Notamacropus eugenii: one gene and its partners. The protein of the gene in region 1 purifies or fractionates together with the protein of each later gene. This does not show direct contact. Links are inferred from orthologs where the notes say so. Each region holds a gene or a part of one and is shown in the gene's direction. Other genes may lie near its edges.

What was found.
Region 2: the proteins of SMC3 (region 1) and REC8 purify together in Homo sapiens (affinity purification with mass spectrometry; 3 studies listed by BioGRID and IntAct, with this or other methods). This does not show direct contact. The link is inferred for Notamacropus eugenii from reciprocal best matches to the Homo sapiens genes SMC3 and REC8.
Region 3: the proteins of SMC3 (region 1) and USP13 purify together in Homo sapiens (affinity purification with mass spectrometry; 4 studies listed by BioGRID and IntAct, with this or other methods). This does not show direct contact. The link is inferred for Notamacropus eugenii from reciprocal best matches to the Homo sapiens genes SMC3 and USP13.
Region 4: the proteins of SMC3 (region 1) and NIPBL purify together in Homo sapiens (affinity purification with western blotting; 4 studies listed by BioGRID, with this or other methods). This does not show direct contact. The link is inferred for Notamacropus eugenii from reciprocal best matches to the Homo sapiens genes SMC3 and NIPBL.

The regions. Positions count from the first base shown.
Region 1 is NC_092872.1:188,252,185-188,259,132, forward strand, and holds the start of SMC3 (structural maintenance of chromosomes protein 3), read left to right. Parts: upstream 1-3,942; 5' UTR 3,943-4,559; coding exon 4,560-4,574; intron 4,575-6,948. UniProt on the Homo sapiens protein: Central component of cohesin, a complex required for chromosome cohesion during the cell cycle. The cohesin complex may form a large proteinaceous ring within which sister chromatids can be trapped.
Region 2 is NC_092878.1:9,117,611-9,125,498, reverse strand, and holds the start of REC8 (meiotic recombination protein REC8 homolog), read left to right. Parts: upstream 1-4,881; 5' UTR 4,882-5,253; coding exon 5,254-5,309; intron 5,310-5,651; coding exon 5,652-5,720; intron 5,721-5,803; exon of another isoform or gene 5,804-5,930; coding exon 5,931-6,073; coding exon of another isoform or gene 6,074-6,172; intron 6,173-6,266; coding exon 6,267-6,342; intron 6,343-6,512; coding exon 6,513-6,633; intron 6,634-6,995; coding exon 6,996-7,080; intron 7,081-7,217; coding exon 7,218-7,297; intron 7,298-7,523; coding exon 7,524-7,590; coding exon of another isoform or gene 7,591-7,668; intron 7,669-7,792; coding exon 7,793-7,868; intron 7,869-7,888. Other genes in the region: IRF9 (interferon regulatory factor 9), read left to right, coding at 528-887, 1,335-1,450, 1,554-1,586. UniProt on the Homo sapiens protein: Required during meiosis for separation of sister chromatids and homologous chromosomes.
Region 3 is NC_092877.1:344,608,508-344,615,568, reverse strand, and holds the start of USP13 (ubiquitin carboxyl-terminal hydrolase 13), read left to right. Parts: upstream 1-4,051; 5' UTR 4,052-4,066; coding exon 4,067-4,645; intron 4,646-7,061. UniProt on the Homo sapiens protein: Deubiquitinase that mediates deubiquitination of target proteins such as BECN1, MITF, SKP2 and USP10 and is involved in various processes such as autophagy, endoplasmic reticulum-associated degradation (ERAD), cell cycle progression or DNA damage response.
Region 4 is NC_092875.1:423,986,782-423,994,408, reverse strand, and holds the start of NIPBL (nipped-B-like protein), read left to right. Parts: upstream 1-4,624; 5' UTR 4,625-4,757; intron 4,758-5,390; exon of another isoform or gene 5,391-5,501; intron 5,502-7,627. UniProt on the Homo sapiens protein: Plays an important role in the loading of the cohesin complex on to DNA. Forms a heterodimeric complex (also known as cohesin loading complex) with MAU2/SCC4 which mediates the loading of the cohesin complex onto chromatin.

The DNA.
Region 1 (6,948 bases):
TGAAATCAGCTCAGAAAGAGAAGTTGGAGCCAGATCATGAAAGGTTTTCAGTGCCAGATAGGAGTTTATATTTTATTCTCCAGTCAATTGGGAGTCCCTGAAGATTCTTGAGGAGAGTCGGTCAGACTTGTGCTTTAGGAATATTAACTTGGAAACTACATAGAGCATGAAAAAAGGCATAAATGAAAAGAATGAAAAAAAAAAGAGTACTTATCATGTGCCAAGCATTAGGGGAACAAAGACAAAAGTGAAGACAATTCCTACCTTCAAGGAGCTCACATTCTAATTGAGGACTGGTGGTCAGAGATATTTTGCATAGGAACATTACAGGGATTGTGAACAGTTATAAATAGATTAGCCTAACCTTTATAAAACAATGGCAACATTGCTTTGATTATGGTTCTAAAACTGGACAACAGAATTGGAGGGAAAGGTGGCTAAGAAGGAGCTGGTCAGAGGATAAAATAAAGTACGGCCAGAGATATCCTGATATAGTGGGCCACATGTGAGGTACTCAGGATGGTGGGAGCACTAGTGCTAACAGGGTCAAGTCTTCCCTGTCACAGGAGTAAACCAACTGGGTCTCAAAGTGGCTGGATAGATAGGAGAAAACTTGAGACTGGGAGACCAGTCAGGAGACCATTTTAATATTCAGGGAAGAGGAAATGAGGGTGAAACACAAAACACTCACAAGCATGCACTGACAGAATTCAATAATTCAGCTTATAGCTATTATTATGCTCTCTTGAGAGATCAAATCAGTTGGGATTCCATAATGTAAATTCATAATGGACCCAATGAGCATGGTTGTATGCTAGCAGTATTAGGCAGCTCTGTTCTGGGGCAAAATGGACAAAGGATATGAACAGGCAGTTTTCAGAGGAAGAAATTAAAGCTATTTATAGTCATATGAAAAAATGCTCTAAGTCACTATTGATTAGAGAGATGAAAATCAAAACAATATCACACCTACCAGGTTGGCTAATATGATAAATCAGGAAGATGGCAAATGTTAGAGAAGATGTGGGAGAGTTGAAACACTAATTCATTGTTGGTGGAGCTGTAAGCTAATCCAACCATTCTGGAGAGTAATTTGGAACTATGCCCAAAGGGCTACAAAAATGTGCATACTCTTTGACCCAGCAATATCACTTCTAGGGCTGTATTACAAAGAGATAATGAAAATGGGAAAGTGTCCCATGTGTACAAAAATATTTATAGCAGCTCTCTTTGTTGTGGCCAAGAACTTGAAATCAAGGGAATGCCCATCACCTGGGAAATGGCTGAACAAGTTGAGGTATATGAATGCAATGGAAATACTATTGTGCTATAAAAAAATGACAAACAGTTGAACTTCAGAAAAACCTGGAAAGACTTATATGAACCGTTGCTGAGTGAAATGAACAGAACCAGGAGAACATTATACATAGTAACAGAAACAGCATGCGACGACCGTTTCTGATAGACTTCGCCCTTCACAGCAATGCAAGGACCTAGAACATTCCCAAAGGTCTCTTGATGCAAAATGCCATCTATATCCAGAGAAAGAACTATGGAATCAGAATGCAGAATGAAGTAGACTATTTTCTCTTGTGTTTTGTTTTGTTTGGTTTTTCTCACGGTTTCTCCCGCTTGTTTAATTCTTCTATGCAACATGACTAATGTGAAAATGTGTTTAATAAGAATGTATATGTAGAACCCATATAAGATTGCATGCCATCTTGGGGAGGGAGAGGAAGAAAACTGAAAACTTATGGAAGTGATTGTTAAACTGAAAACAAATTAATTTAAAAAAAAGAAAAAATAGTATGCATTGAAAACCCCTCAAATTGGTTCCCCTGCCTTTGACTTGTACATGCTAGTGCACATCTAAGTCAAACTTCTAATTTTGTAGTCAAGCAACCAGGAAGAGAAATCAGACCCAGAGCTTTTAATTCCCTAAACCAATCAGTACCTTTTGAGGAAAAACTAGCATAATTTGAATGGAGTGTTGTAAGATTTTGCTTCCACCAACACATATAAGTTCATGGTCTTCCCTGAAGGTTGCTCCTTGGATATACTGGTTCCCTCAAATGCTAGTACTCTCTCCTATTATACTTGCCACTCTCTGAGGTACAATATTTCCTTTGTGGGGAATATTCATACATACATATATACACGTATATATGTAAATATATGTAAGTTTACACAACACACATACACACATATGAAAATAAAAATATACATGTGTATGTATTTTTTTCTCGTCCTTATAAAGCTCAGAAATTAAATGGGAAGGCAGTACACAAGGTAATTAATATTTATTCTTTTAATCATTTTTCAATCATCCTGACAAGTACCACCAGAGCCTTCAAAGGCCTTTGCTGGGGGCTACTTCACTGCCACCTCAATTCATGCTCCACTAGAATGACTCCACTCTAATGCCTGCTCTCTTGATTGGTGAGGAGTTCCAATTGTGCTGCTCAATGCCCTCAGAGCTTAACACTCACTGGACAGCTCCTCCTCCCCTTGTAAGGCCTTGCCTGTGTTTTCTTTCTCTTCCCTGCTCCCCTTAATGTTGTGATTTTCCCATCAGAATGTGAGTGCCTTAAAAGCAGGGACAGGCTTCTTTTTCTCCCTTGTATTTGTATAACCAGTATTTAGCATGTTGCCTGGTACATAATAAGCTTAATAAGTGCCTTATCTATCTGCTATGAGATTTACAAAGACAAATAAGATGCAGTTTGTGCCATCCAGGAACTTACTCCATCAAGCAAGCTAAGATAAGTGAGGCAGCATGGTGTAAAAAGAGCAGTGAGGGTGGGCAAAGCTAGCTTTTACTAGCTATGTAATCTTAAATAAATCACTTCACTTCTCTGGGTGTCATTTTTCTTACCCATCAAATCAGGATAAACCAAGTTTGTAAGCATATAATGAGATAGGAGGCAGTTAGGTGGCCCAGTGGAAATGATGGGGAACAAGTTCTGGGAACCCCCAGAGTTACATCTTCCCCACTCAATCCGGTGTTGGCCTGAGGTCACAAGCCTTTCATGATCTGCTTGTCCAAGCCTCTGGCTGCTCCCCAGCCTTGACCTCTGGATTACCCCGGCCTACTTTCTACTCTAGACCTCCTCACTGCCTCCAGCTGTTTCCCACCCTTGATCACAATCAAACTCTCTTGGTTCTGACCTCCAGTCACCCCAATCCCACCAAGATCCTCCTCCAGACCCTCCCTAATCCCCTCCTCCCATCACCCCAGACTACTAGACCACCCCCAGACTTCTCCCACAGTCTTTCCGTATATAAGATCCTTCTTGTCTCCATGAAGGTGCTCAGATTCTCTCTGGCCCCTTGTCTATACAAGCTTCACAAATGGTGAGGCTTCTTAAGAGTCAACCCAGCAGGGCGGATCTTTAAAATAAATTGTTTCTTCAGAATAAGAGCCTGAGTCCAACTCATTCTGGCAGGACCCTGGGTGCACTTATCTTGGGGTCCCAAACACCCTAAACCTCAACATAGGGTTCCCTGACCTCAACAGAAACAGGAAGACCCAAGGTCAAGTGTGGCCTCGGACCCTGGGCAAGTCACATAACCTCTTTCTGCCTTCAGTCCGGTCTCTTTGCCATGGGCAGGATGGTCCAGCAGTCACAGGAGCGGGGCATGGCTGAACAAGGGAACAAGGAGATCTCACAGGTAGAGGGGTTTCTGCAAGAAGGGATGACCGGGATGGGGTCCCTGGCAGCTGCACACAGCAGGGGTTTCACAGATGCTTCTCCTTCAGAGGCGTTCCCACGAGGCCCGTAAAGAGGACAACGGGTGGGTGAGATGTCAATTTCTCACCCCCCCCACCCCTCCTCCGCGTCAGCCGCACGCGACGATCTCTGGGAAACCAAGGCCGCGCACGTGCTCCCAGGCAAAATTCTCCCCCAAAGTGGCGGAAGCGGAACGTCCGTTAGGCGGCATAAATGCGGGCTGGCAGTCTGTCCGGCGCGCCAGGGAATGAGGCCCGCGGCGCCCAAGCCTTGGCATCTCCAAAAGTAAACAGCGACGCGCCACCGCGCCGAAGTTCCACCTTGGCGTCTCTTCTTAACCGCCCCCCTCAAACCACGTGGTACAGAGCCTGGCTCATCTTCGCGGTCCCCTCCCCTCGCGGTTTGAAGACGCTTGCCTTTAGCGCCGAACCTTTCCCCTCTCGTGGTCGCTACCACTGGCTTCCGCCCTAGAGGGGGGACACGGACCAGCCCAAGCATGTCCGGGAGGAAAGTCGAGAGCCTATTCTCGAAGCCAGGGAGGCTGCGTCCAAGACACAAATACGACTTTGCCACGCAGAGTCCGACCGGAGCTGGTCACGAGTGGGGAAAGGCAGCGAAGTGTCCCGGAGCACCCGCTCCTCCCTGCTCGTGCGGCGACGATGGTTTGATCCAGACGGGGACACCGCCTCCTCAGAGGCCGCCATTTTGTTTGGCCGGGGAAAGGATCGGGGTCGTGGGGGAGGGGTCGTAGACTCAGCTCACCTGACTGGCGGAGGAGCAGCTGCGGGTCCCGGGAGGGTCTTTCTCCCGGGCCGGGGGCGAGGAATCATGTATATAAAACAGGTGAGTCCGGTGCCGCGCCGTCTCAGAGGATTTAAGACAGCCTCCGTTTCCCGCCTCCCCTACCCCCCCCGCCCCCCCCCCCCCCCCCCCCAGCGCTTCGGAGCCCGCTCCCATCCCCCGCGCGGCCGCGGTGGGAGGAGAGGGGAGGCGTCGTTCCCTCTGCCTCCCGCACCTTCGGCCCTGGTCCTTCCCCAAGGTCCTAGGCCGCCCTAAGGGTCCCGGCGGCGGGAGGGGGAGGGGAGAGGGCCGCGGAGGCGGGCGGGGGGCGGGGGGTGGAGCGGGCCCTTGCTCCTCGGCAGACAGACCTGCCCCCGGGGGCGCGGAGGGGCGCGCGTGGGGGGCGTCTGCCCTGCAGGCCGCACTTGACTTTGCCTGTTCCTAACCGTAATAACGAGAGGCGCGGTGCTGCGCGGCCTCCTCCCATCCTCCTCTCCCCCTCCCCTGTGGTGGCTCTAAATGGAGGCTGGTGAAGGTTGTCCGAGCTGCGCCCCAGGCCTGCCCCGTGCTTGGTACGGCCCTGGGTGGAAAACCCAAGTGTCCCCCGCCCCCCTTTATTCGGGTATTCTTTAGGCCTGTAATTCTCTTCTAACTCATCCCTTCCTCCTGGCCTTTCTGGCGCCCAAGCCCCAAACAATCCCCCTTGATTCTGGTGCCTCACCTCTGTGGGTTTTGTCCAGTTCATTCTGTATGTGCCTTGTTAGTAGGTGGTTTTCACGTAGTCTCTCTCACACACACACCTTGTCACATAGTAGGTGCTTAAATAAATCCTTTTTGAAATACTCTCAATCACTATTGATTAGAGAGATGCAAATCAGAACCACTTGGAAGTACCACATCACACCTATCAGACTGGCTAACGTGACAGAACAGGAAGATGACAAATGCTGGAGAAGATGTGGGAGAGTTGGAACACTAATTCATTGTTGGTGGAGCTGTGAGCTGATCCAACCATTCTGGAGAGCAATGTGGAGCTATGCCCACAGAGCTACAAAAATGTGCATATCCTTTGACGCAGCAATATCGCCTCTAGGGCTATGTCCCAAAGAGATCATAAAAATGGGAACAGGTCCCACATGTACAAAAATATTTATAGCAGCTCTTTTTGTGGTGGCCAAGAACTGAAAATTGAGGGGATGCTTATCAATTGGGGAATGGCTGAATAAGTAGTTGTGGTAGGGATGTAATGGAATACTATTGTGCTGTAAGACATGATGAGCAGGTAGACTTCAGAGAGGCCTGGAAGGACCTATATGAACTGATGCTGAGTGAAAAGAGCAGAACCAGGAGAACTTTGTACACAGTATGAGGAATTTTTCTGGTAGATTTAGTCCTTCACAGGACAAGGACCTAAAATATTATCAATGGGCTCTTGAGGCAAAATGCCTTCCACATCCAGAGAAAGAACTATGGAATTGGATTGCAGAATGAAGCAGACCATTTCCTCTTGTATTATGTTTTGTTTTGGTGGTTTCTCACATTCATTTTAATTCTATGCAGTATGACTAAGATGGAAATGTATTTAATAGGAATGTATGCATAGAACCTATATAAGGTTGCATGCTGACTCAGGGATGGAGGGGAAAAAAATCTAAGATATATGAAAGTGATTGTAGAAAACTGAAAACAAATTAATGAAAATAAAATAAAGTTAGAAGCAACTTCATTAAAACAAAGGAAATCCTTTTTGGCTGACATAGCCAGAGCTCTACTTAAGGAAGATATTCTGGATAGAGAAAAACACTCTGACCTACCTATTCTTCAGTAGGGAGGAGAGATAATGAAACGTGAATTGCTGTGTTATGTGTTCCTTTTTAAAAACTTTGTTTTTTATATATTTTAATATTTGTATTATGTATTTAATATTTTATATTATTTAACTTTTTTAATGGACCAAAATCCTTCTCTCACCTTCCCCATTGTAAAAGAAAGAAAAATGAGACCTTTGATGGAAAAAAAATTCCCAAAATGACTGTCCAGAAAATGCTTCATTCTTTATTCTAAGTTTATCATCTTTCTATCAGATAGCATTTTTCATTATGAATATTCTGGAATCATGTTTGGTCCTTGCATTAATCAGAATCCTTAAGACTTTCAAAATTGTCTTTACAGTGTTACTGTATGTTTTTTTCTGGCTCTGTTGATTTCACTCTTGATCAGCATCAGTTCATACATGTCTTTACAGCTTACTCTGAAAATGTCTTTGGTCACTTTTTACATCACTGTTGTAGATGTTCCACAGAACCTCATCCTGTGCTTCCTCTTCTCTCCCTATGTACTTCACTGGGTGATCTCATCAGCTCCCATGGATTTAGTTATCTTTGTTGATAAGTCTCAAATCTACCTCTTCTGCCCTTACCTCTCTGCTGAAATCTGG
Region 2 (7,888 bases), on another chromosome or scaffold:
ATCCACAAACCCTTTTCTCCCTTACCTGCTGAAGTCTTGTCTATTCATTAAAACCCAAATCAAATGCCATCTCCTCAAAGAAGTCTTTCCTCCTCACTGGTAGGTGAAAGACTTTTTCCCCTTATGACTGCATAACACTTTGTTTTGCATCTTTCTGATGCACTTCTAACCTAGAACTGGGTATTATCCCTATGGATATTTGTGTCTTATCCCCCAGGAGACTGTGAAGGCAAGGCATATCTCCTAGCCAAACTTCTTTTTCTCCCCCAAAGTGCTTGGCTATTCTACACAGGGTAGGTGTTTGGGGATAACAGTACTTTTTCAACCTTAAAATTCTATAAAATTGTGAGGATATTACTGTTATTTTATAAATGTTTCTTGAATGAACAGTCAATTTACTGAACCTCTCTGGACTTCCTTATCTATAAAATGCAGGGGTTAGACTAGGTTACCTTTAAAAATTTTAGTTCCCTAAGTGTATGAATCCATCTCTAGTGTGCTTTATTTTATTTTCCTTCCCTCTCCAGATTGCTTCCTTTTGCTCACCTTCCATTACAGTGGGCATTTGGTTGGAAAGACTGAGGTACATGGCCCTGACTGCCGACTCATAGCCAAACCTTCAGGAACCCAGAATAGCATAGAGCAGGTGATGCTACCTTCTGCCAGTGTACTCTCTGAACCAGCTCTCCAGTTATCCACAGAGAACCTCCTGAAACACTTTGACCGTGGCATCTTGGTAGCTAGCAATTCCCGAGGTCTTTTTGTGCAGCGCCTCTGTACCATTCCCATTTCCTGGACTGGTCCCTGCACTCCGTCCGGGCCTGGACCCCATCTGCTACAGGACAAAATATGTGTGGAAGTCTTTAATTCTGCCAAATTCTTCCAAGGTGAGAACTGTTCTACTCTAGCCCAGCCTTACCTCTAAAGACCCTGACCACTACCCCCTCATCTTGGGAGTGTCCTAATTTTTAGAATCCTGCTTCCTCCCTGCTATCAGTCCTGTGGTCATTCTTAGCCCCACTTTCCCAAGTTCCTGGACCTGTGACTGCTGCTTCTCTGTGTCCCTTCACTCCCCAATCCTGTTAGACTCTGGGCTGGTTGGGCTGAGGCATGGTGACCAGGGGATCACATTAGCCATCTTTCTGTGTGTCTTCCTTTCTTTGATTCCTGCCCACCCCCTCCTTTTCTCTTTTCATTGTGTCTTATTTTCTGTCCTTTTTCTTTCTCTCCTTATCTTTCCTCCCTCCATCACTTCACTCCTCTCCCATATCCTATTCTCACTCTCTTGCTCTCCACTGCTTCCTCTCTCAAATTTCTTTCTCTCTTACCATTAGGCCTAGCCCAATACCGCAAGGGCCTGGCCCCACCCCCTGAATTCCAGGTGACCCTAAATTTTTTGGAGGAGCACTGTGGTCCTGGATATACTCATAAGAATCTCATCACAGTCCAGGTAGTATCACTATCTGGGATTGGGTAGAGTCTCTGGGATAAGGAGGGATTCTTCCAGAAGGAATGAAGGTTAGACTCACTGATGTCTGTTCTTCCTGGTACAGATGGAGCAGGCCTTTGCTCGATACCTGCTGTAAACTGGACTTGTAGAAGCGGAGTGTTCTGTTCCCTTGGCATCTGTTACACTCATCTTCCTCCTCCTTTCCTTTGACTGTTCCTTATATGTCCTTCTGGTTGGTGGTTGGTGTTGGTGTGTTCTATGAGTTGTATCACTATGCCTGGATGGTTTGGTAAGGTGGTGGGAAGTCCCTGGGAAATCCTAGCAGCTCAAACTCACATTGCCTTTCAGTTTCAAACCCTAAAAATAACTTTAGATCTACTGTCAAGGTTTTTGAATAAAGTTTTATTGAAAATGAAACTATCTGGTTTATTGAGAGGAGATTGATATATCAGGGAAAAGCAGGATACGGTCAATGGAGAGTCAGGAGAGGAAGCATCTTGCCATTTAAAACCTGGGGTTCTTAACCTGAAATCCATAGAGGATAGATATCAGGTGTTTAATCAACTTGGAACTTTTAAAATATTTTGATAATTGTATTTCAATAGAAGTGGGTTCCTTTGTAATCCTATGTATTTTATTTTATGCATTTAAAAACATTCAGAGACAGACCCATAGGCTTCAGTGGACTACCATAATACACACAGAAAAGTTAAGAACCCTTTATTTAAACCAAGGGTGGGGAATCTGCGGCCTTGAGGCCACATGTCCTCTGGGTCCTCAAGTGTGGCCCTTTGACTGAATACAAACTTCACAGGATTTTTGTTAAGGATTTTCTTATATGTTATTTTTATATTAATATATAAACATATTTATAAATATATATTTGTAAATTGTATTAATATACAAAATCCTTTTATTAAGGGGATTTATTCTGTGAAGTTTGGATTCAGTGAAAAGGCCACACTTGAGGACTTAGAGGGCCGCATGTAGCCTCGAGGCTGCAGGTTCCCCAACCTTGATTTATATTCTTATCTACTAGGGTTCTCTTCTGGGTCACCCCTTCCCCTCACCCCAATCACATCTCATATTTCTGTATTCACAGAGGTCCTTGGGACTGACCCTGTACACATCACAGTCCATACAAGCCGCTAAAGACCAAAGTGGGCAGGTCATGTTCCCAGAGAGGTAGGTCAGGGGATAAGTTCTAGCCACAAAAATAGGTGTGCTGGTCTTCTGTAAAAGTCAGTTAGTCAATATATATTTAAGTCCCTACTATGTGCTTATTGCCAAGGATCAAAAAAAAAGGCAAGAGACAGTTCCTCCCTGGGCTCTAAAGGAGCTTTACAGCCTAACAGGGGAGTCAGGAGGCAAACAGCTGTGTATAAAGAAGCTATCCATAGGACAAATTAATAATCAGTAGAAGGAAGGTATTAGAATTAATTAGAATTAAGGAGAATCAAGAAAGGCTTCCTGTTGAAAGCAGGAGGAAAAGATAAAGATGAAAAGAATTCCAGATGTGGATGACAGCCAGTGAAAAAGACCCAAGTCAGGAGATAAACTACCTTCTGCAAGGAGGCCAGGGTCACTGGATCACAGACTATTGGAGGGCATAATATGGAAGGAGACTGGAAAGAGAGGAAGGGCTTTCCGTATCAAACAGGATTTTACATTTGATCCTGGAGGTGATGGGGAGCCACTGGAATTTCCTAAGAGAGGGGAGGAGTGACATGGCCAGAACTGCGTTTTAGGAAGGCAGTGGAGGAAAGCCTTGGGGCAGTAAGGCCAACCAGCAGACTATTGCAATAGTCCATGTCTCCTGCACTGGGTGCTGAGGACGTGCACTGGGGTGATGACATCGTCTGAGGAGAGAAGGGAAGAGATGTTATGGTGATAAAAATAACCCAGTCTTGGGTAAGAGTGAGGAGTCATGGGGAGCACCTAGATTCTGAACCTGGGTGACTGGGAGGATGGTAATGCCCTCAGCAGTAATAAAGAAGTCAGGAAAAAGGAAGAGTTTGGAGGAAAAGATAATGTTGAGTGTAAGCTATCTATGGAACAACCAGTTCAATATGTCCAATAGGCTGGAGATCAAATAAAAAAGATGGGCTTCCAGTGAAGGAGTGAAGAAACATGCCTTTCCTTTCTTTGTGTGAAACATTCTATCGGAGCTGGTTGTCATGTTGGTTAGTAATGCTGAACAACTTTCTGTCTCCTATTCTTTGTGACAAGGGCTGGCATTCTATGGAGGGAGGAGGAGTGTGTTTGCAAATGAAAGTAATGTAAAAATAAATCAATTAAAATAAGAGGGGAGAAGAAAAAGATAAAGTGATCATGTGTTGAGAGGGAGGCACAGATGACACGTTCCATCGGTATCCTCTCCATGTCAAGAGAGCCTGAGGAAGGAGCCCAGTATGTTGAGTGGGCTCTGGGTCAGAATTATGGAAGGATATGGGCATAAATTACACAGGAGGCAAAAGTTGGGTTTGATCTACATCCCTGGAATACCCACGTGGATGAAGTCACAGAGGCCCTGGAAGACGGGAGTACAGACACGACATGAACTGACACACCAGGAATGGGTTAAAATTCCACGCGGGCTTCTTTCTCTCCTTCGCCCTGTCCCACTGACCTTGAGCTCATCCCCGTGTCTAGGTCAGTTACAAGGCTCCTCATCTGGCTCTGTACTGTTACTTTGTTTCATTTCTACGTCAGTTTCAGAAAGTTACCAACCGAAGGATTACGCAAAGGTCAGGACTCATCGTGCATGGGATGAGTTAGAGCCCCACCCTGGGGCCTGCATCATGCTGGACTCCGCAGGGTCTCAGAACCTTGCAGATTTGGTCTCTGAGGGGGGGCCAGCCTTGCCCACTGCTGAGGACGGGCCAGAACGTTGAATCCCTGGAGCCTGACAGAGTTGGCTCCTTCCATGACACGTTTGGGTGGATGGCTTGGGGACTGAACACGGCGCGGGGGTCTCAGTAATCCTGAAATGAGTCCTGCCGTGGGGTGACTGGAAGGGCACGAAGCCGGGTCCCAGGGGCCACCCACGGATGCATCCCATCGGCCTTCGCTTCCCTATTGGCTGAGAAGGATTTGTTACCAGGGAACAGTTCCCCGAGGCGCTTATTGGTCAGGCAGGACTCTTCCCCAGACTACTGTCACTAGGCGTTGGTGGGGAAGGAGGAAGGCAAGAGCAGACGCTGATTGGTCGCCCCGCTTAATCCGGCCCCCCCGAGGAGCGTTTCTGATTGGCCACCACGCTGTCCCGGGCTGCGGGTGCCCGGCCGCTGAGAGGAGGAGGGGCAGGTCTAGAAGCTCCGGGAGAAGCGAGCGCTGCCTCTCGACATCTTTGCCTGATTGGCCCTTGGCGGGAGGGCCGCCATCCAATCAGGAGAGGCCAGAGAGGGAGGGCGGGGCCCCTGCGGCCGGCATGCATCCATCCATCCATCCATCCATCCATCCATCCATCCAGCGGCCTGGCAGGACGGGGCGTCTCGCTGCGTGTGTGCCCACGCTCCCGGACACCCAAGCCCGGCTCCAGCCTGCCCGGCCCCGCTCGTCTCCCGGTCCTCCCCACAGCTACGTTGCTGTGTCCGTGGGTAGCCCGTGCACCTGGCGGCAGCCCTCGTCCTCTAGCTCTGTCCCGATAACTCCCCTGAGCCCCTTACAGCCCCCCTTGTCCTTTGCATGCCCGAGTCCTTATCGAATTAGTGGGGAGAGCCTTCGTAGCTCATCGCTCTCAGGAGCCCCCTGGCAGGTTTGGGGGGCCCGCTCAGAAAGGGGGGGCAGAAGACCCGGGCGAGATGTTCTATTACCCGAACGTGCTTCAGCGCCACACTGGCTGCTTTGCCACTATCTGGTGAGAGGGTGAAGGGGGCTGGGGGGGGACGAGGCTGGCACAGGGGTGAGGGTGGGACAGAGAGACTGAAGAGTCCGGGACCAAGATTCTTTCTCTGCCTCTAGCCCAGTGTGACCTGGGCAAGGCACTGACTCTTTAGACCAAAATGTCCTTGTCTGTAAAGGGAGGAAGCTGGACTAAACCTGGAAAGGTGCCCTTCCATGGTTGGTACTCTGCGAGCTTGGTAAGCGGTACAGGGCCCCTCCTCCCGCAGCCTCTCCTGGCCGAGCCTTGCCCACTAGGTTGGCTCGTGTGCATGTGCTCTTGGAGCGACTGATAACTTCTGCTCTTGTCTGCTCGTAGGCTGGCAGCAACAGGTGGCACGAGGCTAGTGAAACGCGAGTACCTGAAGGTGGACGTGGTGGAGACATGGTAAGAGCCCCTGCGATTCAGGGGCTGGGGTAAGAGGAAAGTAGATTCCAGAGATAAGAACCGTCACTGCCTGGGGACCAAGGTGGGGGAGGAAAAATGAGGTTTATTGTTTGGGAACCTGCTGGGACCAAGAGCAGAGTGGTGGGGGGCGAGGCAGGGAGGTCGGCAGTCCTCTGGAGATTCACCAGGTAAGGCTGTTGCCCCCCACAGCGAGAAGATCCTGCAGTATATTCTGGTGCAAGTACAGCCATCTCTGCCAGGCATCCCCAGGCCTCGCTTCTCCCTTTATCTCTCCGCCCAGCTCCAGTTCGGTGTTATCCGTGTCTATTTCCGCCAATGCCAGTACCTTGTGGGTAAGGTGGCGAGGGAGGGTGGGAAAGATGACGAACTCAGAGAGATGAGGAGGCAGGTCGCCTCAGAGGGCTCAGGGCTGGCTGGCTGGGCTGAGAAAGCTGAACAGTGCCATGGGAAGAGACAAGCGGGCTTAGGAGGTGAGGCAGTTTGCCTTCTGCCTTCTCACTTTCTATGCCCCTACCCATCCCACAGAGGATATCCAGCACATCCTAGAGCGCCTACACCGAGCCCAGCAGCAGATCCGTATTGACATGGTGGAACCAGATGCGTGAGTACCTAACTCCAAATTAGGTATTACCATTACAGGGCCAGGGATGTGGAACGTTTCCCAACTTAACTCTTGACCCCAGGCCCTTCAATCTCTATGCCTCCTCCTGACTGCAATTTTGGTCTTACCGTGGCCCATCCCTTCCCTCTTTGTCTAACTACTCAACACAGATTTGGTCTCCTACTGCCCGACCCTCTGACCACAATGGAGGCCCTGGAAGATGTTCTGGACCCTTTCTTTGGAGTGATGGCCATTGGCCCTCACCTTCCTAGTCCCTTGGATATCCCACAGGCATGTATGAGACTGCTAGCTATAGCACAAACTAGCCTCCTCAGTGTTGGTGCTATGTCAAACTAGCTGCCTGTGGTGGGAAGCTAGCTACTCACTTGGTCCTTACTGAGATAGCTCAAGTATAGGTCTTCCCCTATCTACGAGTAAGATAGTACTGTGACCCTGCCTAAACTCCCCACACAACACGTAGCTAGCAGTATTCTGTGTGGGATAGAAACCCACCATAACAACAGTTATTTGGCAATGTACATAGGGGTTGGAATTGGGAGAAAAGGTGCTGCATGTCAGGGGGCTTTAGCATTTTCCATTAAGTACAACAGGAAGCCCATGACTAAACCGTATGCTTTGGGCTTTGTCCAAAGGTTCGACACCTCTTGGAAGCTCCCACCCCTGAGATGATTCCTAAAGAGAGCCCTCCTCCAGTCTACCCTGAACCCAGGAAGCCAGGTGAGCAGTTTCCTGGCTCTCAGGAGGCCAGTTAGGTGGCCAGAAAACCATCTTTCTGGGAGGGGACGTAGGGCTGTGGGACTATGCTTGAAACCCTGGTCAAGAGGAGTGGTACTGACATCATCTCCTTCTCTCAGCAATATCCCCCATCACCATCCTGCCTCCTGAAACCATCACTCTTCGGGAGGCAGAGCCAATCCGCGTGCTGCACATTGAGGTGAGCAGGATTCTGGAAATGAGGGCCTAGAAATGGAGGGCAATCATCTCCCTTCCCTCAACTTGAGAGGAGACAGGTCTTGAACTCCACAAGCACGTCCTCCCGCCCATGAACCGGCTATTTCTAGTTCAAGCTTGGAACTAGTCCCAATTGGTGTCTACTTGACTCTCCCTTCCCTGCAAATGTGCCTATTTTGCCCACGGAAGAAATGCATTCATCTCCACAGGACGAGCTGGACCTACCAGAAATCTCCCATCGTGACCTAGACCTGCTGATGGCTGCAGAGGAGGAAGGTATTTTGTCTGAGGAAAAGGCCACAATCCACCCACCCTGGGAGCCCCTCAAGCCCAAAGTACCTCATGTCCCAGAGGGTCAGCCCTCTGGCAAGGGTAGGGTCGGAGCAGGACACAGTCAGGAGGGAGGAAATCATTTAATGAAGTAGCTGAAGGGAAGGAATTCATCCCACCCCATCCCCTCTACGTGTCTCCCTTTCAGCTGAAGAGTTGGTGGAAATTCCCCGGGTCCCTGAGCAGGAAATCCCCCCATGGCTGTCCCCCACACCTCAGGCACGGTGAGTGGGCCAAGGCAAGG
Region 3 (7,061 bases), on another chromosome or scaffold:
TCTTTGCTAATCCCTGAAAGCTACTATAAATATTTTTGTACATATGGGTCCTTTTCTTCTTTCTTTGATCTCTTTGGAATATAGACCTAGTAGTGTTATCCCTGTGCCAAAAGGCTTGCACAGTTTAGTAACATTTTGGACATAGTTCCAAATTACCTTCCAGAATAGCTGAGCCAGTTCTCATCTCTGCTTACAGAGAGCTGTTCTTTCACAGCTCCTCCAGCATTTGTCTTTTTCTTATTTTGGTCAGATTTTCCAACCTAATGATCATAATAAAGTTATGATCATTATGTATTTTCCTCTATCCTATTCTCTTATACTTTTCCATCTCTTTATTTCCTACTCCCTCTTTATAAAGAAGAAGAGGGTTGTGAGAAAGAAGTGTGCTCAGCATAGGTTTCTAGATTTGGTACAATTTGCTTCTGCTTCCTTGCCCCCCTTTCCTTCACCCAGAGCTCAATTCCAAATTCTTATATTTTCTTTCAAACCCCCTTTTCAGATCCTCTTTAATTTGAATTTTTTGTTTAGGACTGATCCCTTCTTTAATCTATTCTATTTTTTCCCCCTTCCTCTCTCTTCTCCTCTTTCCCTTCTATTTCCCTGTTGAATGAAACATATTGCTGACCGTATCTCTATGTGTGTATGCTTTTCCTCCTTTGATTAGTTCAGATGAGAGTGAGGTTTAAGGGTTGTCTGCTCCCACCTTTCCTCTTTGTATAGACTTGTACTTGCACACTCAGATTATGTAAAATAACTTCTCCTATCCTCTCTCTTTCCCTCCTCCCGAATGCATTTCTCTTCTCTTCCCTTTCTATCAAAGCATAACAAAACCACTCTCGAGATATCTGACTGATCAGATTCCCTTTATGACTCCTGATGATAAGACTTTGACGGAACACAAGTATCATCTTCCCATATTAGAATGTAAGCAGTTTGTCCTTGTTTAATGCTTTATGATTCTTTAATTATATCTACCTTTTTATATTTTATTAACTCCCGTGTTTGAACTTCAGTATCTACACAGCTTTAGTCTTTTCATCTGAAATGCTTAAAAGTCCTTTATTTTATTAAAGATCAGTTTTGTTGGGTACATTATTCTTGATTGTGTCTATTTTTTTTTCCTCCTGGATATCATATTCCAGACTTTCCATTCCTTTATAATGGTGGCTGCTAAATTGTATGTGATCCTGACTGTTGCTCCTCAGTCCTTGAATTCTTTCTTTCTAATTACTCGTGGTATTTTTTTTAAATCTGGAAGCTCTGCATTTTATCCCTCCTGTTCCTGGGAGTTTTCAATCTGAGGTTTATTTCAGGAAGCGACCAATTAATTCTTTCATTTCTTTTCTAATTTTTCCTCTAAAGCTCTCATTTCATTTATTAAAAAATTTATTTTTTTTAAAAGCAACTCTTATTTCATCTCTACTAGATATTCTAGTTAGCCTTGTGCCCAAGCTGTGTTTTTCTTGAAATGTTTTCTTGTTTTGGAGTCATTCTCTTCTTCTGGGTTTGTGTCTTGAGGATCCTTGTCACCATAACAAATCTTTATGATGAAATTCTTTTTTTTATTTTGCTCATTCTTGCAACATACTTCCTGACTTTGTTAGGGCCAGGTTCTGTGTACTTCTGGAGGTAGTATCTGAATTGAGCTTTTGAATGTTGTGTTATTCTAGAATCTCAGGGGCAGTTCAGGCTGGACACCTATAAGCTTTTAGTGCTCCCACAGTGGTCTGATCCAAGTCTGATCACGTACTTCCCTTCTGGTTTGAGCTCTGCAAGCTCCTAATATTGGTTTTGGCCTGAGCAACATATCTATGGACTTGTCCCTGGGTGGAGCTCCAGGGGACTGCTGCTGAACTCAGTCCGCTGAAAGATTTTATTGGTTCAGTGACAGAACTGTAGGCTTCCCTTTGGTCTGGGTTTCCCTCCCTGGTTATTTGACTGCAGGATTCAGACTGGGCTGGAGCATGCTGCTCCTCTCCTGTGGTCAGTCACACAGTTACTGCTTGGTTCTGAATTTGCACCTCACTCCATCTTTAGCTTATGGCCCATGATGACTCCTTGACTTGGACCACCATCCCTAGGTACAGGTCCCCTCTTCAGTTCTCCTTGGATCTGTGGTCTGAAACTGGGCAGTGAAGAACAGAGTAGCCAATGAAAAGTACTTGTTCCTGAAGGTTTCACAAGGTCAGGCAGTTCTGGATGGCTCTAAGACCTTTTCTTTCTCTGTATACAACCTTGGTCTTCTTTTAGTCCCTGAGTTGGAATACTTGGTGCAGCAGTTCCTAACTATACTCCATCCCCAGTGTTCATAGATCTCTCTCTTGATTTGTACTGGAAAAATGATTCACTGAGATCTTTTCTTGTATTTTCCTATTAGGATTTTGGTTCATTTTCTAGATCTTTGCAGAGGAGTTTCAAGGGAGAGCTAAATTGCACTTCTTTCCCCTGCACTACCATCTTGGCTCTGTGGAATTAGGATTAGAAATAGAATTGGTAGTATGGGAAATGAAACTGATTGAACCTAGGCATTCATTTGCCATTGCAAAAGTAAGAGTTATCATCCTAGCTGACAGAGTTTTGTAGGACCCCCAGTCAAAAAGAGATGCCTGCATCCTGACTTAACCCGTTGACAACATCTGGCCCAACTCAGAGGATCCTTGTGAAGAGCCTGAACATCCACCAAGTGCCCTGACTGACTCAGCCCAACAGCAGACTGACCCTTCCAGGTGAGACAGGGCACTCAAAGAGAAGCAGCCCACCTGGGCTGCTGGTCCATTGGAGATGCTGTACTCTGTAAGAAAATGACTCTTCAGAGAGCCATCCAAAGCCGAATAACTGTGGAGCAACTCGAAGAAATCTTTCTGGGCAAGAAAAAGAAAATCCTGAGATTCTGGAGTTGTAAGTGGCCTTAGTTACCTATGGCTCATCACCACCCACTTTAAGTTCTGCCCATATTTCCCTTTCCTGGAATCTGGGTGTGTTTGTGGGAGAGCAAGCCCCTGGTGATTGGAGGGAATGCTTATAACTACTGTCCTTGCTGTGCTATTATCTTTACTGAAGACCAGACCAGACTCTACTTGCTAATTAAGGTGACCTCTCTGCCACCCCTCCCCCCCCATAATCTATACTACAATAGCAACCCATAGAGTTACCCTTAAAACTCTGGGAATAGCAAAGCCCACACTTCCGGGGCCCTAAACTAGCGTCGGTGTGAGTGAGCCCTACAGTGTGTGTCATGTATGAGGTAGCCTCGATTGAGAAGTCACTGCAGCTCTGAGACTGAATATTCCCCTCTGTAAAATGAGGGAAATAGGAATAGGGGTAGCTGCCCCCTCCCCCAACCCCAGGGTTGTGTCTTTCCAGATGCTCTGTCCCAAATCTCCCCCTTTTAGAAGGCATCACTAGTGATCTCATCCCAGATCGCAGGCCTCCTTTTTGGATAGAGGACTCTTAGATCGAGAGAGGGGAAATGACTTGTCGATGGTCACTCAACTAATCAGTAACAGAACCAGGATTCAACTCTGGTCCTTAGAGGCCTAGATCCAGGGTTCCTTCACGCTACCTCTCAATTGACCCTCATTTATTTTTCAGTCAAAGTCCCGCAAAGTTCTCAGGGCACCTCCTTTCCCCTCGTATTTAGATGCTCTTCTGTGGAGTTTTAGAGAGTGGAGTTGTCTCTTCTGTAGAATGAGGGGGTGGACGAGCTGACCTCTGAGGTCCCTGCCAGCTCCGGGCTCTGCTTCTGTCACTTTCCCTTCTCTAGGCCTTATTTCCCTCTTCTGTGAAAGGAGGGAGAGGAGGGGAAATGGGACCAATTGGCCTCTTAAGTCTCTTCCAGTCTTGGTCTCTAGGAAAAGGGCTAGACTAGACTATGAGTCCTCACAGGCCAATCCCGGCATACGAGGAAGGGGCCGGATTGAGAGCCCCCACCCTCGTGGCCTCTTCCTTCTCCGGCTCCTTCCCCACCACCTTTCTCTCCTTGGGCTCCCTGTCCTTTCCCGGACTGACCCTCCCTGGCGGCCCCTGTCTTCCGCCCCCGCCCCTCTCCTCCAGGCTCGGGGAGCAGATGCGCCCCCTCCCCTCTCCTCCCCTCCTTTCTCCTCCCCTCCTCCCCCTCTCCCCTTCCCTCCCCATCCCTGCCCCTCCTGCCGCTGCCGCCGCGGCCGCTGCAGCTGGTGATGCGATTCGCCATTGGATTAAAAATAGCCTGGTCCCCCCTCCCTGCTCTCCCGCGCCCCGCCCCGCCCGGGCTCTGGCCGCCTCGCACCGTCCGCCTGCCCCCGTCTGCTCGGCCGCCCGGGCCCCGCAGCCCCGCTGCCCTGCCTCCGCCTCCTCCCGCTCCCGTGCCGGTGCCACCGCGGCCACCGCCTCCTCGTCCTCGTCGTCCTCCTCCCGCGCCCGGCCCCCGCGCCCGCCCTCCCTCCGGCCCTCCCGCGCGCGCGGAAGCATGCAGCGGGCCGCCCTGTTCGGCAGCCCCGGCGGCGGCCCCGGCGGCGGCAGCGGCCCGGGTCCTGGCCCTGGCCCCGGGAAGATGGCTGCAGGAGACCTCGGGGAGCTACTGGTCCCTTACATGCCCACCATCCGCGTCCCCAGGTCCGGCGATCGCGTCTACAAGGCGGAGTGCGCCTTCTCCTACGACTCTCCGGTGAGTGCTGGCCAGGCGCGGGCTGGGCGGTGGGGGGAGGTGGACGCGGGGTGAGAGGTGGGGGGCTCTGCCCGAGAGAGCCAGCCCTCGCTGGGAGCCAGGCAGCGGGGCGCCCCTCCTCCCGCTCCGGCCCCGATCACACTTGGTGATGGTGCACAGTGCACCCACCGCGCGCATCCACTTTGGGGAGCTTTGGAACTGAGCACCCGCCCCTCCAAGTCCCCAAGCTTGGGCTGCGGGAGCCAGGGAGCTGCTGCCGGGAGCTCTCCTTCCGATCCAGCAACTCTAGCGCCCTTCCTGCAGTTGGCTTTCCAGGCTGGAGTTTGGGGCCCCCCTCACCCACCTCCCAATTCGGCCCCAACCCGATGAACCCTCCCAAGTGCACAGTCTGCCCCCGGCCCCCAGGGCTGTAGGAAGTGGATAGCACCCGGACACACACAAGCAGCACCTTCTTTTTCTGGGACTGGCGATTCTGTTTAGGGATTCCTAGTCTCTGGACCAGCCCTTCAGAGTTCTGAATTCTTCCGTGATTTTGGTGGTTCCCCTCCACCCCCCTCCCCTTGCTTCCTTTCTGAATGACAGGAAAAAACAGTGCCTTGGCACAAGTAGTTCTAAGGTTCGAGTGCATCGTGATTACTTTTACTAAACTTCCTTCTCCCCTTCCCCCCCAACGTGAAGTTTGGGGCTTGAAACATACCAGCCCAAATTTGAAAAACTTTAGCCCAAATCTTGGCCTCAGTGGCTAGAGGAGGAAGTGAAGGGTAGATTACAGTTGGCAGAGCCAAGTATGAGTGGTTGGCTGGTGGCTTTCAGATTTCCATGGTTTTTGTGTGTGTGTGTGAAATATAAAGAAAACAAAACCTTCCAAAAACAACTGAGTCCCCCTTTGAGGAGTCAGAAAGCATTTCCCAAGTCACTCAGCTGTGTGGCGTTTATCATGTTTTTTTGAAGACTGGCTATTTTTACCCACACCCTTTGGAGCTCATATGTCATCCAGCAGGTCTCCCTCTTGCTGCAGCGGGCGGGAGTCCTATTGGGGAGGGGGGGGGGGGGTTGGCTGTATCTCTCCTACACTCAGCAACAAAGCAGTGACAGACAACCTTTGTCATACAGTCATCGGGAAGGCAAACCAGCTTGTGGGACACTCCAGAGACATCTTATCATCTTGCTAGACTTTTTTTGGTTTCAAAGTACTTTTTGCTCCCCGGCTAACTAGGGACAATTCATAGGATCATAGCTTAATGATCTTGTAATCTAACCCTCTTATTTTGCGAGTGAGAAAAGCGAGGCCGGAAATAGTTTATATGGATGCGGATAATTTGTGAACTGTCGTCACTTTTTTTTTTTTATGACTTTTGAGTAAGATCACAGGATTGTGGCTGATCATAGGGACTGTTTTTGGCTTTTCTTTGTGTCCTTAGTATAGTACTTGGAACATCTTAGATGTTTAAAAATTGTTTATTGGCTAATGTACTAATAAGCTGGAAGGGACTCAAAACCAATTTGGTCCAGGCGCTGTCATTTTACAGGACAGGAACCGGAGGCCTAGAAAGGTTAGGTGACTTGTCACATAGCTAGCAAGGGCCAGAGCCAAGACTCCTCTAGAGTTCTCTGACTTGAAATCACTTTTCCCCTTCCATCCATATAAGCTGCTCATTTTATTTTAAACTTGAGAAGTCTTTCTGAGCCTTTCTAGGACCATCCCTTGAAAACTTGCTAGTGGTTCTTTCTTAATCTTTGAGACTCTGTTGACCATGACATCTGAGGCCACTGCCAAGAATGCCATTAGAATTTCCTACTATCAACAACATATTTTAAAATAACAGATGTTGTGTCCCATGTTTTTGTGTTTCTCGTCTTAGCTCCTGAAAGGGTTGAGATGGATGGTGATGTCCATGAGGCAAAAGCTATTGACATGTTATAAAATATTAAAAAAACCGCCAGAACTTTCTGAATTTCTTAGAATATTAACTTGGTGGCAAGGTGAATTGGAAGGAGTTGGATTTGGAGTCAGAGGTCCTGGGTTCCAATCCTAGCACTGCCACTTCTTACCTATGTGGTCTTGGGCAAATCATTTATTTCTCTGGGACTCACTTGTTAAAATGGAGGATCTGGACCAGATGGCTCCTGAGGCTCTTTCCAGCTTCCAATATTCTGTTTTCTCTATTAATGTGCCATAGGATGCTCCCAGAGGAGTGTTTCTTTTAATAAAAGAGTTAGTTAACAAGCATATATTAAACTCCTGCTTTGTGCTAGGACTATGCTGAGTGTTTAGGATACAAATAAAGGCAAAAAACTCAGGCTATTCTCTGAAGTAGCTTAGTTTAACGGGAGAGACAATATGCAAACAACCATGTACAAACAATATATATTCAGCATACATTGGAGATTATTTTAGAAGGAAGGCATGAGCATT
Region 4 (7,627 bases), on another chromosome or scaffold:
AGATATCAACAAAACACCGACACTGAAATTCTTGGGTCATGAAGTAGTTTCCTTGTAGAACCCTAGTTTGGATATTTACATATAAACTATTAAAACACTAGGTGGTGTACTAGAGGAAGAATTTCTGGTCTGCATTTTAAAGATTTCTATGATTCTGCAATAGTATTCTAGAAAACATACTCAAGTATCTGACACAAAGTGGATGTAAATAGAATAACCAAATTCAAAACCACACAATAAGAGTAAATATCTCTACTTAAAAATGAACACAATTGGGAAAGAAAAAAACACATTACTGTGTATTCAGGTGAAATAGTGATAGTACCTAATGCTTGCCACTTACATTTAATTTTTGTAAATTATAGTAATTTCTAATCAGTATCATAAACATTAGGATTTAATCTCAAATCCATGGTCTCTCTTTTAAGAATTATACTTTGGGGTGGGGAGGGTGGAAAAGCAGGGTAAGCTTCCTAATGACTGGATCTATGTGAAATTTCTGACTGGGACTATGTCCTATGTAAAATTTCTAACTGCCCCAGCTTCTATCATATAGTAGGAACCTAGTGTTTGAGTACATAAGTAACAGAACGGTCTAAAACTAGAAGGTAACTTCCTGCTTTTCAAGGCAGTTTACATCACAGGAGCCTTCAAATGAAGGCTGACTGACCATTTGCCAGGAACGTTTTAGATTAAGTCTGACATAATTTGGACTAGATGGCCTCTGAGGACCCTTCTAACTCTGAATCTCTGATTCATGATACAATTTAACATTTTGGCAATACAATGATTGAAAACATTTAATACCAGTACCCACTAACTATAAAGTTAGGGATACATTATTCCTATGCTATATACGCCATGAAGTGAAAATATTAATAAGTATTTTTCAATTTTATACCATACTATAATGTAATAAGTAATGTGTATTGCCCAGACCATGATATGAAGTTTAATGGACAGCCCATGGTGCTTTTGTAGTGACCGAGATAGATAGGGCAGATCCTGCAAATGGGCACAGAACTGTGAACAGAAGAGTGGGCACGATGGCCTTTGAAACTGAAAAATTATTTTGATGACCTCAAGATTTTCCCCAAAACAAAAGGCCAGTTTTTTAAAAAATATCCTCATTCTTCCAACATTTGTATGGCTACAAATCAGAGCATACTAAAGAAGTGAAATGGAGGATAAATAAAGGGCAATGGAGAGGTACGTGTTAACTGTGAGCAAGTTGCATAACAAACTAGAGTTATAGACAAGCAATGTTAAAGATATTATCATTGATCATTGAAAAGATGGGCTGTTCATGTGGCAAGAGGGAGAAATGACTGATAGACAAGTTGTGGTTCAATCTTATCCTCACCAAAGGCCCTCCAGGGTGTTAAGTGGACCCCCTGTGGTGAACTTAGAGTAGGACATGCAAGAGTCACATAGGATGGACAGGTTTGGACTGGGTTGCAATCTATAGTAGTTGGAAGGCACATATATCAATGAGAGTAAAGATCCATTTGAGTACTCTAATGTGAAGACCTAAGTTGGCATTTTATATATCATAAGCAAAGGACTGTATAACTTAAATTACCCAAATATGTTGAATTACTAGTTTACTTGCTAAAATTCAGGAGAGGATATAGAAGCAGCATAATGATCCTCCAAAGCAGACTTAAATGATGGCATTCTGAAATTAAGTGAAAATATATGATGTTTGCATGTGACTTAAAACTTGTATAAGACTAGTAGGTAAGACCTTAATTGGAAGAATATCTGTAAACCATTTTATCTTATTTGTGAGGTTATAATCTTTTTTATGTCATGAACCTTATGCAGAAAATATAATTTATGGATATTAATTATTTGGCATATATACACTATAAATTAAACAGCTTGAGGTTTAGGTGCAGGTATTTTTAAGCAGCTTTGTACAAGCAACTAGAAAACAGGTATTTTAATTTCATTTCTATCTCTAATACCTTTCAAGTCATTGTTATTAATTTAAATGACGCACCTAAGTTTATTAGAGGTGATCAAATAGCCCTAAAGAGGTGATTTAAATAGCCCTGAAAAAAGTGAACTAAAAAGTTGTATAAATCTTCAGATTAATTCAGGCTTCAGCTTTCACTATTTTTTCCCCAGAATTAAATAGTAAAAGTAAAGTGGATTAGCATTTTAATTGTCCTAGAGAATAAGAGAATAGTAAGCTTTTCTTAGATGTGGACCAAGATTAGGCATACACAGCCCCTTTAAGATTATCAGTAGGTCTTTTTAATTCCCTCCCACCCCCCAGTACAGTGAACAATTGTGACTTCTCTAGAATAGACATCTTCTTTAGGTTACTCTGGTGACTAGTCAAAATGAGGCAAGGAGTCTGTCATTAAGGAAGAGAAAAGCTTCCCCTAAGACAAGCGATAGAACTGCCCGAGCTCACGAACCGTCCTCCATAGGGCCCTCAAGCACAAGTCGTCACCACAAACTCGTCTTAACTTGTTTCTGGTGAGTGTCTTCGGTTCGTCTGGTATCTTGATGCAGGACTTAAAGAGCTTTTCTTCCTAGATTTTCCGTCCTTTTCAGAACTTCTCCATAAAGCTCTCTCCGGTGAATATTGAATGAATATTGAATAGGAGCATTGTCTAAGAGAGACCAACTCAGTCTCGGGGTTCTCGGACTGCATTTCTAATTCACCTGGTAACTGATTTGTTAAGAACGCCATTCACTTTTAACAAAATATTACAGATATTACTATTTAAATCAAATAATGGAACCTGTTTATAATTTTACCAAATTTATTAAAATGGAATAAAACACGTCAAGGTCTAAACTCAGCTAAAATTGAGCCCAACTTTAAATTAATCCTTCAACAGCTGTCCTGCTTCCTCCGAACAAATAAAGTGAGCAGCCTGTAACAAGTATCTCTGAGGGAAGCGGGAGGAGAGGGGAGGAAGGGCCGCGGAGGGGAGGGAAGGGAGGGGAAGGGAAGGGAAGGGAAGGGAAGGGAAGGGAAGGGAAGGGAAGGGAAGGGAAGGGAAGGGGGCTGCTAAAGAGCTGGGAACAAGGACAGCCTGAGCTCACCAGCCAGGTCAGCCCTCGGGTCTAGGACGGGTCGGGGGAGCTCCAGACCCGCGGCGCCCCCCACCCATCACCCCGCAGACCGTGGCGAGGCCGGCCCCGAGCAGCCCCTCACCCCCGGGGCGCCACAGCTCCATCTAGCCCTGAGCGGGGGGTACACACGGGGCCGCCAAATACCTGCAAGCACATGGAGCTAACTGGTCCAGCTAGGTCCAGCAGGAGAAAAGGAGAGCCTGGCATCGGAACGTGCCCTGACTTCCCCGGCACAGCGCTGCCCACAAGCCCATCTCCCCAGGAGGGAAACCAAGCCAAGCCCCGGCCTCTCGACGGCGGACCACGGGAGAGGCGACAAAGCCAAGGAGGGCGTTCGAATCCACGCGGGAGCGTCCTCGCTCCGGGCTAGGCCGTGTGCGGGTGTGCAGGTGTGCACACGGATGCGTGCAGCTCGGTCAGCGGGAAAGAGCCGCACATCCACCAGGTCGCGAGGTCACCCCGAGAGTCCAATGGAATCGCGGGGGTCCGAAACGTGGCCCCCCCGAGCGGCGACCCCTAACCCCGGGGAGGACCCGTCCTCTTCTCTTCAGCCTTCAGTGTCCGGGGCCTTGAAGCCCCCTCCTGGGAAAAGTGTGTGTGTGTGTGTGAGTGTGAGTGTGAGTGTGTGTGTGTGTGTGCGTGAGAGAGCGGGGAGGGGTGGGGGATGGGGAGGGAAGCCACCCCAAAACCTTCCGAGGGTCTCCTCCGCTGAAAGCCCGACGACGCCCGAAGCTGAGGTCTTCCCATTTTCCCCTAGGAAAAGAAGGACCAGAAGGAGGGCGGCAGTAACCGGCCCGGTCCTGGGCCACAGCTACGATAGAGGGCAGAATCCACACCCACCCAGGGCAGCGGCAGCAGGAGCAGCGGCGGCGGCGGCGACGGCGGGAGAAGGAGGAGAAGGAAGAGGAGGGAGCGAGGCAGAGGCTGCTGAGAGAGGAGGAGGAGCGGTCGGCGCGGCCGCCGCCGCCGAGGCCGCCGGCCCAGGCTCCAGCGGCGCAGGCCCCGGCTGTCGGCCCCGGCTGTCGGCCCCGGCTGTCGGCGGCGGCGGCGCGAGCGGCGACGAGGGAGACTGGCGGCGGCCGGGGGCACTGGAGTAGTAGTAGTAGCGGCGGCGGCGGCGGCAGCGGGCTGGCGGGCGGGCGGCGGCGGTGGCGGAAGTGGAGTGGGGGAGAGGGGGAGGTTGTTGGTGTTTGGCGCCGGTGGAGGGAGTCATTCCTGCAGCTGCACTTCCGGTCGGCATTTTGTTCTGAGAGGGAGAGACCGAGCGAGAGACACACACACACACACAGGGCTCCTTCCCCCCCCCGCCCTCCCCCCCCTCCCTCCTTCGGTACCGACTCGCCCGACACCGCCGAGCCGCAGGCAGGGACGCCCCCGCCGAGAGGAGGATTGGTTCCCGAGCCGGCTGCGATGCCCCCTCGGTAGCTGGGGCCCCGGTCGGGTGTTTGTAAGTGTTTCTATGTGGGAGAAGGAGGAGGAGGAGGAAGAAGAAGCAGCGATTTGTCTTCTCGGCTGGTCTCCCCCTGGCTCTACATGTTCACTGCACTGAGGAGGAGACGGAAGAGGAGCCTCAGCCGCCCCCCCTCCCGGCCCGGATTATAGGCTCCCCACAGCCGCCTCGGCCTCGGCCTCCGCACCGATTCAGACGCCGATTCGCCCAGGTAAATTCCTTCCTTCCCTTTCTTTCGGCGGCCGCGGCGGCGGCGGGGCCAGGACCCGGGCTCCTCTCCTCCCCCTCCCGCTCCCGTCCCCGGCAGCCCCGGGTCTCCTCGGCGGAGCCAGCGCGGAGTTGTCCGCCCCGGGAGCAGGCGCCTCGGCCGGCGGCGGTTGGAGGTCTTTCCCCGCCGACTTTTGCGGAGGAGATTCGGTTCCTGCCGGGCGGCCGGGGAGGCGTAGGCCCGGCGGAGAGCGCAGGCCGCGGGCCAGCGGAATCTACTTGAGCTCGGGGATTAGGAGAGGCTCCGGTCAGAGCGGAGCGATCGCTTCTCAGTGACAGGCCTCAGCCGAGGGAGAAGCGGTAGGAAGACGAGGAGGCGGAAACAATACCCGGAGCGGCCAGGGCGCCCCGATCCGCTCTATATTTACAACTTTCCCGGGGCGAGCGGTGGGAAAGGTCTCCGCGAGACAAACAACCCCCTCCTTCCCCCAGTGACCCTGGGCCGGGAGGAAGTAGTTTCAGTTAGAGCGAGGCAGATGTGAAATGCCCAGGAACGAGCCCGGGACGCGGCGTTGGCCTTTTTTCAAACTTGTTTGGGCGTGCAAAAGTTAACCGAGACTCGTTTCCCCTTTTAAAGGCATTCGGTCCTCGCTCACGGCTGGGAGACGGAAACCCGAGTGACATAAACAGTAGTGCGCTCCGTGAGGAGCCGAACGCGGCTCTCGGAGGCGGGGGAAGTTGTTGACAGGTACACCCCGGCCCTGGGGCTCGGAGGGAGCCTCGGAGGGGCCCCGCTGTGCCTGGGAGCGGGGCGGTGGGAGAGGGGGGACGGAGGAGAAGCGCTCGGAAGGACAGGCGTCCCCCTGGGTGTCCCGTCCCTCTGGTGTCAGGGGAGATCTTTTGGAGGTCTCGGGACTGTCATTGGCTGTGTGTGCCCATGATGTTTGCCTGGGTAATGAGAGGTGTCACCGTAGTGGGTCGGAGGGGTCCGAAGTGGCTCGAGGAGAGGAGCCGTTCTGAACCAACTGGAGGTTCTGTGCAGGGGATGGCTAGGTGGTGGTGTATGATGGAACTGGAAAGGCAAGTTTGTGAAGTAAATTAAAGAAACTTGACTCGTGGAAGTGGCATGGAGAGCAGGGCTTACCTGGGCAAGGCTGTTCGGGTACTTTTGTGTCGTGTCTGTTTGTTTTTGAATGTTCAAGTCTTTAAGGAGCAACGTTGCTCAGCACTTCTCTTAAGTTTGTTCACTGATGTCACACTGGCCCAAAAAGATTTTTTTCTTGCAGCTTTATTAAATTTCCATCGTCACTGTCCAATAAGTAACTTTCCTGGGGATTATTCTGGAGTTTAGGGTCTGGCTTGCGTCGAACTCTACCATAGTGTCTGCCAACGTTCGGATCAATGTTAAAAAGGGTCAAGTTAATATAGCTGTCACGTCCCAGGCATGTTTTTAATGCCATAAATCCGTGTAGTAGTCAGTAGCGTGTCCGTGATTTGTATTGGTCAGGGAGCAGTTTGAATTTTAAAAAGCCTGAAGCTCCTGCTGAGCCCCAATCCCGGCCTCCCTCCCTCCCACTAATCTCCCATTCCTGTCTTTGTGCTGCCTGCTCCTGTTCGACACTGTTTGCAACAGGGCCTCAGGCCTGCTGGGGGTGGGGGTGGGGGCGGGGGAGGGGGCGGGGGAGGGGGCGGGGGAGGAGCAGGGGAGGGAGGGAGGGAGGGAGCAGCGCTGCCCATTCTGAGAAAGCAGCTCTTGAACACAGACACACGCGCACACACGCACACACACGCACCCCCCCAAAGCGCTTACCGCAGAAATCCTCGGGCTGGCTTTATGACTTGAACTGAACAGCTGTTTCGCTTGGGGGTCTGAGACGTGCCCAGTTCACAGCAGAGGACTGGAGGAAAAGTGGTTGTGCTGGGTTGGTTTTCATCATCAGAGAGCGACGCACCAGCCCTGCTGTTTGTTTCACGGCGCTTCAGAGAAGTGTGCTCGGGGGTTAGAAAGAGTTGAAAAAGCAGTCTTCTTTCATGTTGGTTTTCTGTGTGTGATTCCTGAGTTATAAGCAGAATCACGGATTAGTTGTTAGCTTGTCCCTGAAATACTGAGGAAAAAACTTTGTTTTCATATCAAGTGAATGATTAAATTTCTCTTTCTCAGATTTTTTCCCCCCAAATTTGAAAGCAATTCCCTCAGAGCTCCTCAGTATACAGTTCATTCCTCTTCCCCCAGCCCCCATCTGTTAGAAAACTAGCCTCCAACAAATCATTTAACTGCAGAAGTATTTAGATGTAAACAAAGACAAGGCTATGCTCTCCAGATTTTTTAAGATCCTCTGAGAGAAAGGTAGCTCAGTGATATATTGGGAAAGGGGCAAACTTGAGAAAAGTTTCACCTGACAGTAAACACCTCAAATTTATTTAATAGCAGGTTGAGGGGTTTTTTGTTGTTATTTTGTTGTGGCTATTGCGTAGTCATATTAATCAATTTATAATAAAACCAGATTCTAGAATCAAGAAATACTTCAAATTAGGGTTAAAACTTAAGCAGTTAATAATTTTTAATATCTGAGTTACTTAGTATGGTATGACATTTTTGGGTTTTGTGCCTTGGCAAAATTTGTAACAGTAAAAAAGTTAAGAGAATTTTTGGTGATATGGTAAATATGTTAAGGGGCATCTTAAAGTTGGAAATTAAATATGAATTTCATTAAAGAATGTGCAATTTTATTTGCTCTTTTTAGAACTAGAAAGTAAAAGCTTTAAAATCCCCATCATAGCTCAATTCCTTTGCCATCTCCTGTTGGAAGCTTTTCTTGATACCCTTAGTTATAAATGCAATTATCAGATATAGCCATACTTGCTTTACCTAAA